Neodiprion lecontei: one gene and its partners. The protein of the gene in region 2 purifies or fractionates together with the protein of the main gene of each other region. This does not show direct contact. Links are inferred from orthologs where the notes say so. Each region holds a gene or a part of one and is shown on either strand. Other genes may lie near its edges. The genes, in order: 60S ribosomal protein L14, nucleoplasmin-like protein, protein penguin and nucleolar GTP-binding protein 2.

Region 1 (3,880 bases), on a different chromosome or scaffold from region 2:
AGATATAAACCTTGAGTATCCTGAACATTTTCCCACCGGATTAGGGCTTCTCGAAGAGGTTTATAAAGTTGGCGACGACTGGGATTATACCAAGTACAAACTCTAGAATCTAGTTGAGATCTTTCTTCTGTACTAAGCAGACTCCAGCTCAAGAACAACTGCTTCAATCGTGGCACTACCAAACGGGTATAATATAAATGTGTAATAGGAGTTACATACATGATTAATCATGGGATGCCATACCCTCAGGTATCAACATAAATATTGCATCACAGATTTGTTCAAATACAACTTTATCCATCTTCTTTGCCATAAGAGGCTCACCGTTTTCAGTAGAAGTGGATTTTGACTGCATTTTACATGTTACCTATAAAGATTTCTCTTGATTATACAGAAACAAACGACTATAGAAAAAAGCAATGAGGAATGAAAAGGCAACTGCTAAGTTAATAGAATGCAGACTGTATTCACACATTTAATTAGCCAACTGCGACGTTTTTGAAAACCTGATTCAAAGGGATATTTAATCTCCGGAATAATTAAACAGGTAATACTTTTTATGGTATGGATTTATTTCGAAAGGTTGTACAATTATTTCTTTTCGGGCTTCTTGGCTGCAGGCTTCTTTGCGCCAGGTTTAGGTGCTGTAACGGCAGCCTTAGTTCCTTTCCTCGACTTTTTCTTAATCTTCAAGAACGCATGTGTCCTCAACTTATTTCTGACCTGTCTAGCTTTGCGCAGCTTGAATCGGTCAAAGTCACTGAGGGCAGCCCGCTGTGAAGTTATTATCAAATCATTTTAATTTGGAGAATTGGATTTGTGACAAAAGGATGATCAATTTTAAATCAAATCAGATAAATAATGGCTTCATTTATGTATCAGCCGGCAATTCCTATCAAGAATATAGGTTCATCATATAAATGATATAAGCATGCGAAGATTAAAAAAAAAACTTCCATACCTTTTTCTTGGCTTCTACTTTTTGTGCCCACATGGACTCGCTCCATTTCTCATCAATTTTTCCATCAGACCATGCCTTGCGTACAACACGAGTCGAGCCAGTGAACGGAAAACGTAGACGGAATTTCGTCAGGTGTAATTGGCTAAGGCGCATCTGACCACGGGGTATATTTGCAGCCGGTCCATCAACCAACACCTGGAAATACAAGATTAAATTCAGATCCAACCATTCCCACATAACAATATTGTTTGGTGGATCAGAATGTTTTCAGAAAATTGTGATATCTTCAATTATGTATCAGCCGGCAATTCCTATCAAGAATTTGGGATCATCATTAAGAATGTTGACCAGACAAAGCTTTAGAATGAGAACATCTTGATTTTGAAAGATACTATTCATAAATATTAGTTGAAATTCTTTCAATCAAGCAACCGGTTTCTTGCTTTCAATGTAACCTCGGTTCTTATCACCAATAATAAAAATTTAATTATAAATTAGAGAATCTTACCCTGTTTTGATCAATTATGTCAACAATTGTGACAAGTTTGCCTTCATGGGGCCCATCGCTGACATAGGCGACGCGGCCCGTTTCAACGAACCTCTTGAACGGCTGCAAATAACAATGAATGGTAAATAAGACTAAGAATTGTGCGAGAACATGTGAAACGGTTACACAGAGTAGAAGCTTCAATCGAGAAATTTCTGGCGCGAATTGGGCTAATTGGGTTGGGACTAATCGAGACTTTTGAACCGGTCCCAAACTATCGTTGAGATCGTTTGGATTCGCTGATAAACTTGTATGAAATAGTGGCGTGTGCCATGTGGCTGGTGATGAGCCGCATTGTAAAAAGGTTGTATTCCCATCAAATAACTGTTCTCCTCTTACACTCCGTCCACATATTCATTTTCACAGTTTACCCGATTACGTTCGTGTTACAATAATATGGAAATTAAATAATATTTAATACTTTTAACGAGAAATCTGACGTTATAACAAGAGCCACAGCATGCTTACCATGGTTAACCGGAAGCGAAAGACCTGAAAAACTGAAATGGGAACTTGCCGGACATTCGCCCAAAGAAAAGTAGTCAAGCTTACGACTGTGTAATCCACACGATTACTGAATCCCGCAACCTCTCGGAAAGGTAAATATAGGAGAAATCATTTCAACTTCGTTTTTATAGAATTTATCCGCATTAAGTTAGCATTAATCGCTAATTAGAATAATAAAAAAAAAAAACATCCTGACAAGTAGTCGGCGGGAAAGTTGGTACGTTAAGCGCCAGATAGCGCTAGTAGAGCTCAAGTGGGGCCGAAGTTAATTTCAATGACAAGGCTTCAAATCTGATCATCGATTAGCTTATGACGTTTATAGATGATTTGTTTATATATGGCAGCGATAGTTTACGGTGAAACATTTTACGAGGTAGTGAGCATATTATATTCAACGATATTCTCCGATTAGCAAATATGGTAATGTCAAATATTCAGTAACAATCTTAATAAATATTATAAGTCTGTTGCATGTTTTCGACGCTTGTGTATAAAATGGAAAATCATTACATACCGCTCAGCTACTGGGTTAGGCAATGCATAATTTTGATAAATGGTAAATCATGAAAATGAAAATTTATTCATAGATACTATCTAGAGCCAAGCCTGTGGTTACGGATGGCACCAAGAAAAGCACCTCGAGAAAGGAGATCCCTAAGTTGGAGGATTTCCTTGAAAAGCGAGACTATACAGGAGCGTTGACGTTGTTGGAGTATAATGGAAATGATCAAAATTCAATAAACACAGATTTATGGATTGGTTACTGTGCCTTTCACCTCGGTGATTATAAAAGAGCTGCAAAAGTATATGAAAACATGAGAAAGAAAGGGAATACTTCTGTAGATCTCGCTACAAATTTGGCATGTTGTTATTTTTACCTTGGTATGTACCCGGAAGCGTTAAACGTTGTAGAAGAATCTCCTGACAGCCGTTTGAAAATCAGGATTCTTTTTCATCTGTCTCACAAAATGGGTGACGAGAAAAAACTCATGGAATACCACCAAATGCTGGAGGATGTTATTGAGGATCAACTGTGTCTCGCTTCTATCCATTATCTCAGGGCTCACTATCAGGAGGCTATTGATATATACAAGAAAATATTACTGGAAAACAGGTTCGTTTTCAAATAACGAAAATATTCACATCACACAATTAAAAACTGAAGCTTACAATTAGCAAAGAAGCGTACTTCACTAATCAAGCATCGCCAGAGTGCTTTTAAAATTAGGTTAAAAGAAACGAGTCACTTATTTATTCTAGCAAACCAATTAATTTAAAAAACAAATCCTCGATAAGTGGCAAAGATTCCGAAGTATACTTGATAGCTGAACTCCTAAAGAATACCAGGTATCCTATCCATATTCCCACTATCCTTACGTCCCGCATTTGAACCTTTGATTTCCTTGCAAATCTCAAAAATCAATAGCTTTGCAAAATGAAATGACTAATGTGTTTTTACTGATGTTTTCATTAGGGACTACTTAGCTTTAAACGTCTATGTAGCTCTGTGCTACTACAAGCTGGACTATTACGACGTCGCTCAAGAAGTTCTTCAAGTTTATTTGCAAAAGCATCCAGACAGCGCAATTGCCATCAACCTGAAAGCTTGCAATCATTTCAGATTGTACAATGGCAGTGCTGCTCAGGCGGAGATGAAACAACTTATGGAACAAACATCAAGCTCGTTCAGCTTTGGGCATGATCTAATACGACATAATATAGTAGTACGTATTTAATGAAAGTGAAAGAGTAAAATTTTCAAAAATTCTACTTCTTAATTATCTCATTTCTGCATCGTTTCAGGTATTCAGAGGTGGCGAAGGTGCTCTTCAAGTATTACCTAGCTTGGTAGATGTGATACCAGA
Region 2 (6,534 bases):
CTAATATGTAACAATTTTTTTCTATTATTTTTCCCACAGTGATAACTCCTGCCATTTAACTGTCAACCTATCAACTCTGAGCAAGACATGTGACAGTCATAAACCAACCTTAGAAATTTTCGTGGAAGTAATCCCGTATTTGAAAATGTTTTCTTCATCGAGGTCGTAAAATGGCAGGCCAGAAGACCTACGACTATAAAATTCCAACCACACCAACTTCATCCCAGCATAATTATTCCTTCGAATATATTTACAAAATATCAAATATTTCAAGAGTAAAAGTAGTACAAATTATTAATATGACTATAACTATAGAATATCAAACAACCGATCGTTACTATGATCCCACTGATTTTTACCTGGCTCCAACTGTTCAAGGCCGTGGTTCAAAGTGTTAACTACCCACACCACTTCATATTTTCTTGAAAATTAGACCTCGCGCGGATAATGGGAGGTTTGACATAAAATTTTTCAAACAAGAAAGTGTTTTCTAAGTCTAGTCACGCACTGTACAAATTTACATAATAAATTAATATTAAGTAAAAGTTAAGTGAAATTTTTATTGTATCGTATATGTACAAAAGAGTATACAGACGTATGGGCACGTAAGTGGAAAACACTGTGTATAACACATGTTAAATAAGAACGGTGCGCCGTGCATATAGTGTCTGTCTGTACGCCGGCTATTACTTTTCTTCAAATGGAATGAATATCGAGAGATGACAATGTTCTGTTTTAACTCCTTCTAATGGTCATAAAATTAATCAAAGACCTCGTTTAGTTCAAAATAAATATACTAGATCAGTGGGATAAAAATTCCGTCATGATCTTTATAAGAAGTAAATATGATTATCAAGTGGTGTTATAATATAGCTTTGTGTTTTCTGACTGGAAGTCGAGCTGCGGAAGAGTAGGATTAAAACATGCGTCAATCTGTCTCCGTCTGTCTGTCAGTCTATCATTTGTCTAGCATTCGGATTCACGAACTTTCAAATCTGAGCTGTAGATTGCTATTCCGATGTTCAGGGAGACGCAGAAGCGTTAAATACTGAAGAGTCGAACTTGCATTGCCTTCTATATAGACTTATTCCTCGAAAATGTGTTCTCACTGATGACCTTGTCATGGCTCCGCGACCCTTTTATAGTCGCTAGAATAAAATACATATTCATCTTATAGGTATTTTTACACAAAATTAGTCTGGAAATCTTCAAGTAACGCATTAATTCAGTAAGGTAACAGATTGTGTGCCTAATATCTGTGATCTTTTTCTCTTTGCTTTTGCTTCTTCGTTGCTTTCGATTGAAGAACAATTGTTATCATGAAAAAAATGTACACAACCCAGCCTCAAGATTTTAGAATCCGTGAATGGATAATGAATGGTCTCTTTTGACTATCAGATGAAACGATACTGTAACACGCAAAACGCGAATGATGATGAACTTACATTCAAGAGCCTAGCCTAGGATGTGTTGGTAATAAAACCACGGATTTATTTTTTCTTATTCTTGTTAGCTTGATTTTTGTTTTTAGCTGGGGTCGCTAATTTCGCATTCTTCTTTTTGGGCTCTTCTTCTTCGTCTTCTTCATCCTCAGGGTCCTAAATCAAAAACATCAAAGAAATTAATGAGAGCAGATTCCGATTACGCATTCTGTTCTAATAATTCAATCTAGTGTAGAGACAATAGTGTCATAAATCCAGACCGATCAGTCTTAACTACTCAAATAACAATTCATTATTTTATAAATTAATAGTTATATTATTTTTACCGTCGAGTAACAAAACTCGTAGTCGTAAAAGAAAAAATTATAAAACCTAATCTGTGATCAAAATTATGTATCATAAAACCCTGAGAAACAAAATTTAATATTACAATGACCGGAAAGTAGTCAAAGATGTATAGACAACATTTAGAGTAGGCCCATTATATTGCACACTGCCAAGATGGTAGGTAGTGAAATAAAATGCAAAATCTAAAAACAATTATTCCAAAGACGTTGTTTATTTTTCAAAAAAATTAAAACTTAAATTATTTTGATGTAACATAGACAAGTACATCTGTACGTTTCAAAGTTACCATTATCATCACTCTAGTCTGGTGAAATGAAGAGTTGATGATTAAAACGAATTTAATTGATGTTTGAAATGTATAGTCTGTATTTAACGTAAGATATGTAAAACTTATTGCTAGGACCAAGCATGCTATTTTCGATAGTTCTCCTTGTCTACCTCCTCATCCATCTTGGCGCGTTTGGTGCCATTTTTTTTACCCTCGCCAGAAAGTTTCCGTTTCTTATGCGAGGCCTGAAATATTAATTCCCATTCACATAACGTATGATGGTCTCCTAACTTCTAACCATACTCCTTCAGTTTTGTACCGATTGTTAAGATAACGTATTGCTAACACAAATCCAATTTCAGAATTTTTGTTTACAATACGCTTAATTTGCTTTTGCACAATAACCAATGGTCTGAATCAATTGTAATTACGAATGGGTTATTTATTTTCAAAATTGACAATTTTTAATTGAAAAACCCTGGCTAAAAGCTGTAAAATTTTAGATTTATATTCACCTTCTCATCATCTTCGTCATCGATGTTTTCTTCCTCCATTTCGTCCTCCATGTCTTCAAATTCATCCATATGCGTCCCTGTAACGAATAATCGAGTTTATTAATGCATGATATATTCACACAATATATTCTTATACAATACAGTGCAAATAAAACTGTAATCATAGTTTTTTGATCACTAAAATGAGATGAAGCTGAATTTAGTGACTTCAGTCAGCAGCCGATGTAGTAAACTTTTTTTTAAAGATAATCATACATAAATTTCAGATCCGATGATTCTATGAAAGTACTAAATATTCATGAGATTCAGTGAAATTTCAATTGCTAGGCTTCATTTCCAAATTTTTCAGCATAATTACTATTCGTCGCCATTGACTCTGGTCACTAGCATCAGTTCATTAAAATGAAACATTTTCTCATTAAATACGATAGTCTATAAAAGATTGCGGCCAAATGGTGTCTCGCAAACCTTGAGCGTGCATCGCTGACACAGCTGGTAGTGATGTTGCAAGTGTTATTAGTCCAAATATATCAGGAGTGAAGGAAGATTAATCTACGAAACAAAATGAAACTTACCAAGGAGATTGTGTCCTACTATATGGACTGGACCGCTGCCTTTGATTAAGGTGAATGTGACGGGTGGATCAGGGAAACTTAGATCGAGGATGATTTGTGCAGTTTTGCCCAGTTCCAATAAGGCAATTGGGATTTTAATTGGACCTTTGAGTCCCATCGCCTCAACTTGTAGTACGTTTAACTCGCCAGCTTTGGCCTCAGGTCCCAGAAGTGCCTGAAGTCACAAAAAAAAGATATAGATAATGAACCTCATCGGATTATATTGACCATATTCGTAAGCTAAATGTTAGTGTTGCAATAAACTGATGAACTATTAATATTAAATAAACAGTACTTTCAAAGCTTGCCTCAAGGCTGACATACTTTTTATCAGAAATTGAAACGTGTTACTGTTTATTCTTGATCGCTCGTCATTCATAATTTTTTAAATAAAAACAGCAGCTAGTTAATGTCGACTCAAGCTTAAATAATTTACATTATAGATGTTGATCTTACAACTTGCAACGATTAAACAATCAATTAGCTTGTCAAAATTTAAGTACAGATTTTCTTTTTGGGATGACTATACTTATTATATTGATGCAACTTATCAGAAACAAATAGGTATACAATAGCAATGAATTGGATATTTCAGAGTTTTTTCGAATGACAATAATTTAGAAGATGAATGCAAATGGCGCCAAAATGCGTTAAAAACAGCGATAACAATTTTCAAGGACAAAAATCATCGATTGTTGACACACTGACGTGTTATTTATAAATTTTTATTTCTGGTTTGTTCTAGGATCAAATTTTGCGTGTTATAAAGGTTGAGAATGTGAATCGGCAAAATTGCGTACGCACGGCGACAATGGCGCTAAAGATGGGTAACACAAAATGAATCAAACAGTAGCTGATGAAGTGTAAAAAATTAGATACTTGATTACCAGATTGACAATTTCAACTCACCATTTTGATAATGAGTTTTTGGTCAGCGCCAAAATGTTGATTAGCACCGTCAACGTCCTCGTTTTTGTGCTCAGGATCCCAGACCTCGGTGGCATTGGGTCCTTGCAAAGTGATTCCTGCATACAAATTGACGCAAGACTTGAAGAATGTAGTTTACGCATAATTTAAATCGACATAATAATCATTCTGTGGCACATCGACGATGAGAGAAATAATGAATGGTATAATAACCAAGATTTTTGTACAAAGACAATGGATTCGCCTGCATAATGGCCGATATTCTGCCGGCGTCCACACGTAGGCATACAACGGTGTTAAAACAACGGTATGTATCGAAAGTATTCGCTATTTATGGAAAATAAATAAATCAGCATATCCGTTAAGTCTTAGAGTATAATATTTACCGTATAAATATTCCTCAGCCATGGCGATCGATTAGATATACACAGATTCAAACGTTTTGAGTTGCGGGTCTGAAGCCGAGGGACGCCGCGTAACTGGGTAGAGACTCGGAATGGTCACACGTGTTTGACGATCTCGCAGCAAATGAGTTTCGCGTCCCTCGGCTTGCGCGCCTAGAGTACGTTCCACCTTCTGATTGGGTCCTGCCTCCAAACTTCTGCGGTCATTCCGACGCGCTATTGGTCTCGAGACGGCACCTGGCGACAGAAGTGACGAACTAGGTTTTGCAAAACGACTGCATTAATAAGATAAATTTTCTCAACAATAGGCAAACGGTTTGTAAAACGTGACAGCGCGAGTGCGTGGTATTGAAAAACCCTTGTAAATATTATTAACGGGTTCTCGTGTCGCTTAGAACGGATATTTAATTCCTATATGAGTAACCGTATATTCTAGAAGAAATCCGGCACCTGCTCACAGCGCCTATTCGACACGTTCTCTTGGAAAATGCGTTACGTGTGCGATCTATGCTTGTTTATCATAGTCTCGTATCTCTGGATCAACGATATCGTAGCTTCGGAGAAAGGATCGAAAAATGACAGTGTATTTATACCCACCAAAGAATGGCAAGTCGTTGAAAAGGGTAGGTCGAGAAACGGGACTACTTTTCTCGCACTTGACGTGTGCTTACAACGTCAGTCAAGTACACAGGCCTCGTGCGATTGCATAAATTGATCGTTTACCAACGAGAGATCGGCATATGGCTCATAGATCATTCGCCCTATTAAATTCCCCACTTTACACGGTGCGATAAGATTCGATACGCCGTTATATTTCACATTTTGAAAGCTTTTTCGGGGTTTGAGGCTTCTCGATTATTCGACGAATCCCGCGCTTCCTAACGAACGCTAATAATTTTCAGGCACACCAATCCCAAAAGGTCTTCATGTTCGGCATAATTTTCAAACTGGCATTACAGAAGCAAAACTGATGGAACCCAGCGAGAAAGAAATTTCGGATAACGATGAAATGCGCAAATCCGTAGCCCTACATCCAGACGCGGAGAATTTAAAACCTTCGGAAATTAATGATGGACAGATTCAGCACGATGATAGGACTTTGAAAATATCTGGGGAAGAATTAAAAACCGAATTGAAAAAAATTAAGTCTAACAAGACTCCTTTCGCACGGAAACCCAAAGTAATTCGTCGCTCAAATCTATCTTAATGTCAAACAGGAAATAGTCGCATTTTCCACATTACTGACATCTTATTTTCCTTTCTTTTCTAAAGCGTGCCAGGTTCCAGAGCTTTGATGAACTGAAGAAGGAGTATGAGAACATAAACTTTGGCCCGTCAACCGACGTTGATTTATTAGGTATTTTCATTGAACAGTTTGATACTCATCGAACTGCAATTACGTCCGGATCACTAGATGCCAAAGAGATCAAAGACATCATGGATATATTGGGTCAGTTAGAATACCTGGTCCATGACATTGACAATGGGCTCGAATTCACCAGATTCGGAGGGTGCGTACAGTCTACATTTTACAATTTTTGAAATTGTGCATGGAACTGTTTGAAATAGAATTTAGCATTTTCACGTTTTTCATTTTCCATTCATCAAATCTGTTGCTTCTAGTCTGAAATTAATACATCGCTCTTCATCTGCCTTCTAGGAAAACTTTACTTGTGCCAATTCTTATAGTATTAATTCGTATCATATAACAATCGGTCTTCACTTTACATTGTAAATATTTTCAGCCTGATGAAAGTGATACACCCTTGTCTCAATGGCACAATAGAGGAGATCAAGTGTGAAGCCCTTCATGTCCTCGGAGCAGCTGTACAGTCAAACCCGAAGGTGAAGGAAATAGCACTGGAGTCGGAATTTGTTCCAATCATTTTACGCATGTTGACAAAACACGGCACCTCGAAGTTGATGGATCGATGTATATATGCACTGGGTTCCCTGGTCCGGAACTACCCAGCTGCACAAAAAGCACTACTGAGTCACGGCGGCTTAGAAATATTT
Region 3 (4,790 bases), on a different chromosome or scaffold from region 2:
GTTGAGATTCCCATCTTATCGCTAGTGAACTTAGTAATATTGTTTTTCAACTGAAAAAGGTATTAAATTTTGCTACGGTTTAGAAACATCAGATAGGAATTGAAGTTTTAAATATATTTACTTATATGTATTATAAACTGGTATTAATATATGCCTATTCGTATAATTATACAATATTAACGTGGTGAAATCAAAACAAAACAAAATTTAAACTCTTATTTGTTTAGTTAATTTTCGAATAATTCCTCTAGATTTCATTATGCTAATTCTGTTGCCCTGCTCTAACATTCAAGCCAGTCTTTATAGCTAAAGTTTAATCAATTTTTAGCTAATTTTTAGTGAACTTGATAGAATGGTATCGTATAACGACGATGAATTCACATTTAATGAGTTATGCGTCATGGTTACCCTTAGAAAAGAATTATGTAACTTAGCCTACTTATTTATATTGCAGAAAATATTTAATAAATCAATTTCGAATCGAGTTTCATGTTAAACGATGTCTGTAATAAATAAAAAATAAAAAAACGATGTGAATCAAACATTATATTTATAAGATCTAATGTTGCTTACATCATTGCAAATAGTAGATTTGAAATAAACAACTAAAACAAAATAATGTACATTTTTTGAAACACACATTTGATGCTCTCAACACAGAGGCATTACTTGAGTTTTTTTAATAATATAGATGCTCCTGGTGTTTTTTTAGATTTTAAAGATTTTTGTAGAGGTTTCAGTTTAGTTAATACAATGTTGGCTGTGGTCTCACCACTATTTTCTATCAATGTTATGAGTAGAAAACAGCCTCTGTTGAATTCAATCCATTGTTTCATTACTTCTGGGTTCAATTTGTCAATCAATACCTCTCCGAAGGTAGACTTCTTGTTTTCAATAAGTATTTTATCATTCTGTATCAATTTTTTCAGCATCATGTGAAGCCCAGAAGATTCAATTACCTTCTGTTCCTTTTCATTTTCCATTATTACTGATTCTGGATCTGTTATATAATCTCTAATAGTTTCATGAGCATTTTTGAGCTTCTCTCCATCCCCTGCTTTCAATATTGCCAACGTAACCATTGATATTGAACTATTTGATAGCCATGTCGATACTTCTGTAGTAACAGTTTCTAACAACTTATCAATTACTGCGTCCAATAGCTCTTTTGCTCGTATTTCTGGTGGCTTTTTACTAGTTTCATTGGCATCACCTTTTTTAAGTTGTTCGATTACTTTCGGGTGAAAATAATGTGAATCCCTTCTAGCAACAAGATATAGAATTACGCATCTGCCATATTCATTTGACGCAATTTCTGTCAGATCATTCAGCAATTCTGTCAATATCATTTTCTTCACGAGAACTGTGTCGTCAATGCAGTCAAACAAAGCTAATAACACCATATGACCATGCTCGTTTGTCGCCACATTCTTGACTTGATCTTTCAATGCCTTCATCGCAAGTTTTCTGTCTTTCTTTGTACCATGCCACAAACAAATCATTGCAGACTTAGCACCATCCTTTGTCTGAGATAATTCTGCAATCAAACTTCGGACCATAGTGATCATTTCATCTCTATCATCTTTGGTGCAATTCCTTAAGAATTCAAGCAACACAGAATGTACAAGGGAGGTGTTAATCAGCTTCTTATTTAGTATTTTTATCAAATTTCCTTTGACAGCTGAGAGAGTTGCAGATTTCATATCTCCTGCAAGCTTATAGACATCAGCAAGTGTTTTGATTTGACTGTCCTTGGCTAGTTTGTACATATCACCATAAAATTCTTGTTTAAAATATAATTTATCTGCATCGGTCGCCCAAGATGAATATGCAAGTTCAAGTACTGGTGCAGATACTGAATGGCTTGCTAGCCTAACTATATTGCCACTACACGCCGCAATTATCATAGCTCGAATTTCATCTGTCCCATGCTTCAACAATGTTTTGACACAATTCTTGGCATACTTCGACTGTAACATTAGAACAATACTTTTCTGTAATTCATCAGTAACATTTTTTCTTATCTCAGAAGTGCAGTACTTGAGAAGCCATTGAACAATCCTTGCCATGTCATGCATGAAGACAAGTTTACTAAATTGTCCCTTGAGTAATTCGTATAGCTGCGTTGTGAGCTCTACACGCTCTTCTTTAGAACAATCTGCTCTGCGTAATTTTTCACCAATCTTCTTAGCTTTGACGGTAACATCATACGCATTCGTCAGTCTTTTTTCCCTTCGTTTTTCCCGCAGTTCTTTCTTCTGTTTTTTAAACTCTAACCAATCTGGTTTCTCAGTTGTGTCTGTGCTACCATTTATAGATTTGTATTGAACCTGAGTTTGTAGTCTTTTCTTCTTATTATTAATCTTGTCAAACAATTTCTGTGACTTGTCTGCCTTGGCAGGTTTCTTTGCAGCAGTTGGTTTTTGGAATTTACCTTTTTTCTCCAAAGCGTCATTTTTTTGTGAGATGTTCACCTTCTTTAGCTTCGCATCTGAACTTTTTATGATATTCACTTTGGCAGTAGGGTCGACAGCCGTTTTAGCTTTTTTAATTATCGGTTTAAGGCTCACTGCTTCCTTTTCCCGGCGTTTCATGATGACGATTTTTACCTGTAACTTGAAAAGAAAAATTGTACGTAAAATTTATCTAGCGTAACGTATTGTTTCTACCTTTCTGATGCTTCTGCAAGTATTTCAAACATTTCGAACAACGTGCGTGCAAAACATAACCTATTAAAGACGACACCGATTTATGAAAATTGAGTTTAAATTTTGGAAATACTTACTTCTCAGACTGAATTTCGAACAGCGTAAGCAAATCAGTAGTAATTATACTAAAGTCAGTGAATTATCGGATATTTATAAATTAATAAACCGCACCATAGAATCACTAAGCTAAGGTGTAAATTATTGCGCCAATGTACGATCACGTGGCGTGCACTTGGCTTTGCTTGGCTTTCTGAATTCTGGTAATAGGATTCACGAGGTAGCAGTTGCGTTGAGCTGCAGACACATTTCACGGTTAGTTACTTTCTGTCGCAGCGTGGCGCTGCGGCAATAAAATGACGCTAAATACTACCGCAAGGTTTCGCTACCCGTAAAAATGTACCCTACAGCGATGCGTGGCGCATGCAGAAAACTGTTTCCTTGGCAACTTTACGATCAGTCAACAGAGTTGTAAATCATGGCGGTAAGTGGAAATGCGTCGTAGATATTATGCATTTAAATTATTATTTTTCGCATAGAATTCGGCGAAAAGATTGATAAATTTGATATTTTCCTACTAGCTTATTGATTGAAGCTTACTCTGTAAATTCGTCTTTTCAAAAAACCTTCTTCTTCAAAACATAACCGTGTCGACATGCGGCGTTTGGCACGCGTGAACGGTAACCTACAAATTTGCGACGATCAACACAGTCTTCCGTCATTTCAATGTGATTCAATGCTAAATTTTATTGCAATCGTTTACTGCGGCATGTTTTAAAAATTGAAGATCACACTAACTATTCATTTGATCACATTTACCACTGACAATCCGTTGGTTGTTATTTTTTTATACTTAGATTAGACAACATTAAAGGTATCCAAGAACCAAATTCAGTAACAAAAAAAACTTTATTCCAGGCCGTCGCTGCAGCAAAGGTGCAAGAAGTTCGTGAGATCACTAGAATCGAGCGCATTGGCGCTCATTCTCACATTCGAGGTTTGGGACTGGATGACAGTTTAGAGCCGCGCAATGTAAGATTCACAATAATATATTATATTTGCAATGTATCCCAGCCTTGTATCAATAACTCGGAATTCAGCAAATATCATGTACAAATTTCGTTACAACAAAGATGAATTACTCGCAGGTTTCTCAAGGTATGGTGGGCCAGCTCATGGCTCGGAGAGCAGCAGGTGTTGTGCTCGAAATGATCAAGGATGGAAAGATCGCAGGACGAGCAATTTTGTTGGCTGGACAACCGGGCACTGGTAAAACTGCAATTGCGATGGGAATGGCCCAAGCTCTTGGTCTAGATACTCCGTTCACGTCAATGGCAGGCTCGGAGATTTATTCCTTAGAAATGGGTAAAACTGAAGCTTTAACTCAGGCGATACGAAAATCAATTGGAGTGAGAATCAAAGAGGAAACGGAAATTATCGAAGGGGAGGTAGTAGAGATTCAAGTTGACAGACCAGCTACCGGTGTTGGCGCTAAAGTAGGAAAGTTGACATTGAAAACAACCGAGATGGAAACCATTTACGATCTGGGCAATAAAATGATTGATAGCCTGATGAAGGAAAAGGTAAGTAAAGTGAAAACAGTTATAAATTATCGACAAAATTTAAATGAAAAATGTTTCCATTAAAGGTACAAGCTGGAGATGTTATAACGATTGATAAAGCCACTGGAAAAATTAACAGACTTGGCCGTTCGTTCACACGAGCTCGGGACTACGATGCGACGGGATCACAAACCCGTTTTGTTCAATGCCCAGAAGGAGAGCTCCAAAAACGAAAGGAAGTGGTACATACGGTTACTTTGCACGAAGTTGACGTTATTAACAGCAGAACTCACGGATTTTTGGCACTGTTTTCCGGAGATACGGGGGAAATAAAGTCTGAAGTACGGGATCAGATAAATGCTAAGGTTGCAGAATGGCGAGAAGAAGGAAAAGCTGAAATCGTACCTGGTGTTCTCTTCATTGATGAAGTACACATGCTGGATATCGAGTGCTTTTCATTCCTCAATAGAGCCCTTGAGAATGAAATGGCACCTGTCGTTATAATGGCCACTAATAGAGGTAG
Region 4 (4,963 bases), on a different chromosome or scaffold from region 2:
CTACCCTTGTATGCCTCGCGACCGGCCGCTAATTAGTATGAAAAATACGTAAACCCGGTGAATCTTCACACACGGGCTTGATTTGTCACCTGAGTCACGTATCAGTCGCGTATCACCACCACAACCGCCTCTCCCCCACTTTCGCATCTGGTATATTTGTCCCGCCCTTCGCCTTATTTGGTTGGATCATGAACTATGTGATTAAGAATACGTGAATGTAGACTTGGAAAACTACCGAAGTCTGGTGGCAACTCCTAGTACTAGAATACGCGTTAAAGCAGAGATGAGTAGGTCTCTGGTTAAAGGTTCTTTTTTGAATTTCAAAAAGACTGGCAAGCTAGTGCAGCATATGCAGTTGAGTTTCTCCAAAGCGTGAGATGCAATGAGATGAAATTTCGACAGTAGTTTTGTCATCGACTGAAGATATGGTAAATCCGTTGACTTGTATCTTCAGTCAACTCTTTAGCATTATGCAATTGTAAATGGGTGAAAATTACTAGAGAATTGAGTATTTACACTTTTTATTCGGTAAGGATTAGGGAAACAACGTTGGCGTGGCAAACGTATTATTACCCGGGCAATAGGTCAAACTGTAGCAGATAACAAAGTGCTGGGTTTATCTTGTCTTCGGAACTTTTCTGTTTCTATTTCTGTTCTTTACATTAGTAACTTCATAGAAATCGCTTCCTATTTTCTTTCTCTTATTTGATCTCTCCATAGCTCTTCTTTGCTTACTAGTTAATTTCTTTTCATTTGGATCTGTTTTTTCTTTTTTCCTTGGTTCGTCAGAGACGCTGAATGTACCGCTGCTGGAGGTTGTTTTAATCTCTCTAACTTCACTATCACTAGAATCGTATTCTTCTTCTACAACATCGAAGGCACTTTGCATCAAGCTATCTTTCTCAGGTCCAAAAAACGTCTCATCATCCTTTAATGAATCATTCTCTTCTTCAGCATTTGCTGTTGTTTTGTATTTCTTACTTCCAGACTTTTTCAGGTCATTTCTCTCTTGGTGTAACAACTCTCCTTCACCATTATCTTCTTTTTCTTCTTCATCTGCTTCTTCTTCTTCAGATTCACTAGGCGGCTGAGAGTCATCTGCAGACACAGCTGAACTTGTATTATTATCCTTATCATCGTTCTGAATAGTTCCGGTTTCATCAGCAAAAACATCTCTGTTGTCTTCACTTGAGAATGTCAAACCAATTCTGATCTTCCTGTAATCTTGGACAACATTAAGTGACAATTTGACAGGTTCTTTCACTGCCTCATTCTCAGTTTCCTCATTTTTATCCGAAGTAATATCTTCGTTTATTTCATTCGATACTTCAGCAACAGTCTCCTCTTCCGTTGCCTTCTTAGGTAATGGATTTTCAAATCCCACAGGTGGGACAAAGAAAGGAAGCTTTCCGCGTTGCCAGTCGTTAAGAACCATTCGTGCTGCTATTGCTACGTCAGGTTCTCCGCCTTTTAATAGTTTGCCAGTCCGACGTGCTAGTTTTTCCAAGAAGTCTATGTGGTCTGACCATTCGTCGAGTTTGTAAGTCTTACGCATATATTCAGGTTTCACTCGTTCCAATACATGCGATATGTAGTCTTCAGGGTTAGTAATGAGTTCAACCCTAACAACGCCTTTCAGAACTTTTTCCGTATCTGTTTCGGCAGACGGATAAACAACGCCAGGACAATCGATGAGATATATGCGCCGCATCAGGGTAATGTATTGCCATACCTTGGTTTCTCCGGCAATCGGTGCAACTTTGCAGACTTTTTTAGATCTCAGAGTATTTATGATAGAACTTTTGCCTGTATTTGGGTAACCTATAAAGCCGACGCTAATTTGTTTCTTATCTCCATGCAGCTTTGCAAACTGACGTAGGAGATTAATCAACGAACCCTTTCCAAACGGATGAGTCAACGAGGCATGAAAAGCAAGGGTCGGATGTTCAGCACTTAATATTGCAACCCATCTCTGTGTGACCCAAGTTGGTACCAAGTCGACCTTGTTCAATATGAAAATTAAATGTTTATGGGTCTTTTCAGTTTTTAGATATTTTTCTACAGGTGGAGATCGAGTTCCCATTGGATCTCTGGCATCCAAAACTTGAATAACAACATCTGATGAGTCGATTACTTTATACAGTTCATTCCAAATTCTTCTACTTTGTCCTGCAGCCATAACCCAGTCTCTCTGTACATCTCGTGTCCCATCATCCGGTCTGATCAAATCATGATCTTTAGTGTCTTTCTCAGAGTTATATTTTTCCTCCTTCTCCTTAACGTGAGCCTGCATATCATCGTAGGTTGTAATGGGCAAATTAGGTCGCTTCCTAATTTTCTTCGGTCCAAACACATTTTGGAAACTCTCTGTATCGAGCAGATGTACCCTGGCATTAGCAGCTTTTTGTTGTAGTAAAGTAACGGGCAATCTGGTCTGTTTCATCACAACCTGATAAGGATCTTTCATAGCTGTTCCTAATGCACTTTGAAACTGTTGAAGAGCATTCTGAGAAACGACACGTGAATTTCCAAACCACCTTTGACTGGGCTCGACTCGAGAAACCGTACCAGATGCATGCCATCCTTGAAATGGAGCTGGACTTATAATTTTACCAACTCTATTACGCTTTGGTTTCGAATTACGATACATTTGCAGCCTTTTAATTGTCGCCTTCGTTCGAGGCTTCGCTACACCTTTGAGCCCTTCGGTCGATCTTTCAGGATTCATACTGTGCCCCGATCTGTTGAATCCCTCCTTCCGTGGAGCCTTACTAGCAGAATGTGATTTCACCATTTTTTCTGAAAACATCATACCAAGAATAAAATAAATTTAGTAGTTATTAGTATGGATGAAAAAGTTGTTGGTAGGTTATGTCAAATAACGTTAAATAATAATGTAGCTTTTTCTCCAGTATAAACAGATTTTCAGAACGAAGTATTTCACAGCTAGTTCTGCGACATTCATATTACACGTGTTGTTGGGAACGTTAATAGATATTACAAACAAATTTTATAATTGACGTTAAAAACACGTGTTAATCAACTTAACCTCAAAACTGCATAATGCCCATACGCAAGGCGTTTGGACACCAATCGATTATTACTGCCCACATGAAATTGTTCAAGTTAATAAATACCTGATTTACGTATTAGGTTCCTGGATTACAAAATATAGGAGCACCAAGTGCTACGACGAAGATAATATTTCCACCCTCAACCGCTACATGTAAGGTTAATGTTACTTATGAATCTTTGATATTCGTCCACAGCTGCCGTCTGGCGGCCAGTGCTTGCTGCACGTGCCATCAGCAACACAGCAAATCCGTGTAGCGGTGGCTAAGATACGCAATTATGCTGATACACTACGCATCCACACACGCATAAAATTATCGACATCTTATAAGGATTGATACTATTTTGTTGCAGCAAACGTTGACTAAAAGTATGTTAACGCCGTTTGGAATCAATGCATTTTCTTAAATTATCTTCAACGAGAAATTGAGTTCATAAATTTTTTTTAGGTAGCGAAAAATACCTAAAAAAAATATATTATTATCTAGGCATCAGAGTTTACAAACAGTGTGACTGAAACGAAGTATTTTTCCCTTAGCATCAAGTTTAACGTAGACATAATACATGGAAAAATATATTGCAGTATAAACGAAAAAATTAAAATGCTCCAATTTTTAATTGCAGACGGATTTAATTAATCTTGTAATGATAGGACAACGTCTGTGTCTTCCACAAAGACTTGTAAGTTGAGGTTCGCTGATTTTCAGTTTTACTAATAGTTTATTTATATTCGTAGAATTTAAATTGAAGCAACTGAATTCATCCCAAACAATCTTAATGAGAAGATTCCAAGAGATTCAGATTAAGGAGGTTCTCATAAGCTCTTCCTTTGATGGATTATTATTTCAACAGAAAGGAAAATCTAAAGGACATGCTAGATTTAAAAAAAACCTACCTATTCTCTACTGCTCAAAGGCAAACATCCTGAGCAATTACAGGAACCCACAGGGCGATCATAAATTATAGTTATCACTGCCATTCTGTCCTGCGCAAACATAATTTGTCAGTGGCTTATACCTTGTAGAATAGAAAACCTATAGGGACTCTGCTACCAGCTATTCACTACAGCTCAAAAGTAAATATCGTGAGCAATTATAGGAACTTACAAGCTGGTCAAATAATAGTTATAAAAGAAAATGGATAAATATAAGCTGTGTTGGTTTCGGAAATAAAATAATTTATGACTTCGGACGTGTTTCTTTCCCTGTTGTTGCGTCGTATAAAAAATTGTATTCACCACCGTGATGCTAATTTAATTTACTCACAATTAGAAATTTTTTCAGCGCATTGGAGAGGAATAATAATGGTCATTCAATCCGGAAGTCTGTATACTCGTGCTGTATACATCGATATAAATCACCACCAGTAATCACTCACAAAAATACATATGCAGCAACTCGTCTTTTACTATGAATACGGTACTATACGGTAAAATACAACTCCATTGTTTCCTAATTATTGGAGTCAAGGTATAAGAGGAGAATTAATGGATACTCTGGAAGTTATTTTTTTCAAATTGGTATCAGTCAAATGCTAGAAAATGATTAAACCGATGATTGAAAATGTAAGGTATATCCACATATCGTTTCGGAACGAGGAATCCGACGAATTACTTTCCCACGGCAGCAACGATACTATGTAAGAATCAACAGTAACAATTTGATCCACATTTTTGCGTTGCTGAATGAAACTGAACGCCTGGAACGCGTTCGAATAACTTTAACATTAAAAGTTTCTAGTTGGACTATTTGATACAGACACATCAATCATCATTTATGACATTAAGGTATCATCAATGATAACAATGGTATATTTTTCGTTCTTTAAAATGTCGATGCGGTTTCATAGCTGTAATTTTATATAGGTGCGTATGTACACTGAGACGCCCTTG

The links.
Region 1: the proteins of nucleoplasmin-like protein (region 2) and 60S ribosomal protein L14 purify together in Homo sapiens (affinity purification with mass spectrometry; 3 studies listed by BioGRID and IntAct, with this or other methods). This does not show direct contact. The link is inferred for Neodiprion lecontei from reciprocal best matches to the Homo sapiens genes NPM1 and RPL14.
Region 3: the proteins of nucleoplasmin-like protein (region 2) and protein penguin purify together in Homo sapiens (affinity purification with mass spectrometry; 3 studies listed by BioGRID and IntAct, counting the BioPlex papers as one, with this or other methods). This does not show direct contact. The link is inferred for Neodiprion lecontei from reciprocal best matches to the Homo sapiens genes NPM1 and PUM3.
Region 4: the proteins of nucleoplasmin-like protein (region 2) and nucleolar GTP-binding protein 2 purify together in Homo sapiens (affinity purification with mass spectrometry; 3 studies listed by BioGRID and IntAct, counting the BioPlex papers as one, with this or other methods). This does not show direct contact. The link is inferred for Neodiprion lecontei from reciprocal best matches to the Homo sapiens genes NPM1 and GNL2.

Annotation. Positions count from the first base shown.
Region 1 is NC_060261.1:38,009,718-38,013,597, reverse strand, and holds 60S ribosomal protein L14, read right to left. Parts: upstream 2,028-3,880; 5' UTR 1,980-2,027; coding exon 1,977-1,979; intron 1,572-1,976; coding exon 1,470-1,571; intron 1,157-1,469; coding exon 962-1,156; intron 775-961; coding exon 592-774; 3' UTR 552-591; downstream 1-551. Other genes in the region: uncharacterized protein LOC107216589, read right to left, coding at 11-175, 244-355; intraflagellar transport protein 56, read left to right, coding at 2,433-2,435, 2,603-3,129, 3,490-3,739, 3,819-3,880.
Region 2 is NC_060260.1:25,712,111-25,718,644, forward strand, and holds nucleoplasmin-like protein, read right to left. Parts: upstream 4,705-6,534; 5' UTR 4,523-4,704; coding exon 4,501-4,522; intron 4,213-4,500; coding exon 4,097-4,212; intron 3,363-4,096; coding exon 3,149-3,362; intron 2,651-3,148; coding exon 2,574-2,650; intron 2,304-2,573; coding exon 2,229-2,303; coding exon of another isoform or gene 2,202-2,228; exon of another isoform or gene 1,983-2,201; intron 1,599-1,982; coding exon 1,491-1,598; 3' UTR 541-1,490; downstream 1-540. Other genes in the region: nucleotide exchange factor Sil1, read left to right, coding at 5,006-5,141, 5,421-5,698, 5,791-6,029, 6,264-6,534. UniProt on the Homo sapiens protein: Involved in diverse cellular processes such as ribosome biogenesis, centrosome duplication, protein chaperoning, histone assembly, cell proliferation, and regulation of tumor suppressors p53/TP53 and ARF.
Region 3 is NC_060263.1:34,674,015-34,678,804, forward strand, and holds protein penguin, read right to left. Parts: upstream 3,012-4,790; 5' UTR 2,786-3,011; intron 2,616-2,785; 5' UTR 2,595-2,615; coding exon 666-2,594; 3' UTR 534-665; downstream 1-533. Other genes in the region: ruvB-like 2, read left to right, coding at 3,184-3,189, 3,624-3,737, 3,854-4,288, 4,354-4,786. UniProt on the Homo sapiens protein: Inhibits the poly(ADP-ribosyl)ation activity of PARP1 and the degradation of PARP1 by CASP3 following genotoxic stress. Binds to double-stranded RNA or DNA without sequence specificity. Involved in development of the eye and of primordial germ cells.
Region 4 is NC_060265.1:21,566,116-21,571,078, reverse strand, and holds nucleolar GTP-binding protein 2, read right to left. Parts: upstream 3,298-4,963; 5' UTR 3,138-3,297; intron 2,800-3,137; 5' UTR 2,795-2,799; coding exon 617-2,794; 3' UTR 505-616; downstream 1-504. UniProt on the Homo sapiens protein: GTPase that associates with pre-60S ribosomal subunits in the nucleolus and is required for their nuclear export and maturation.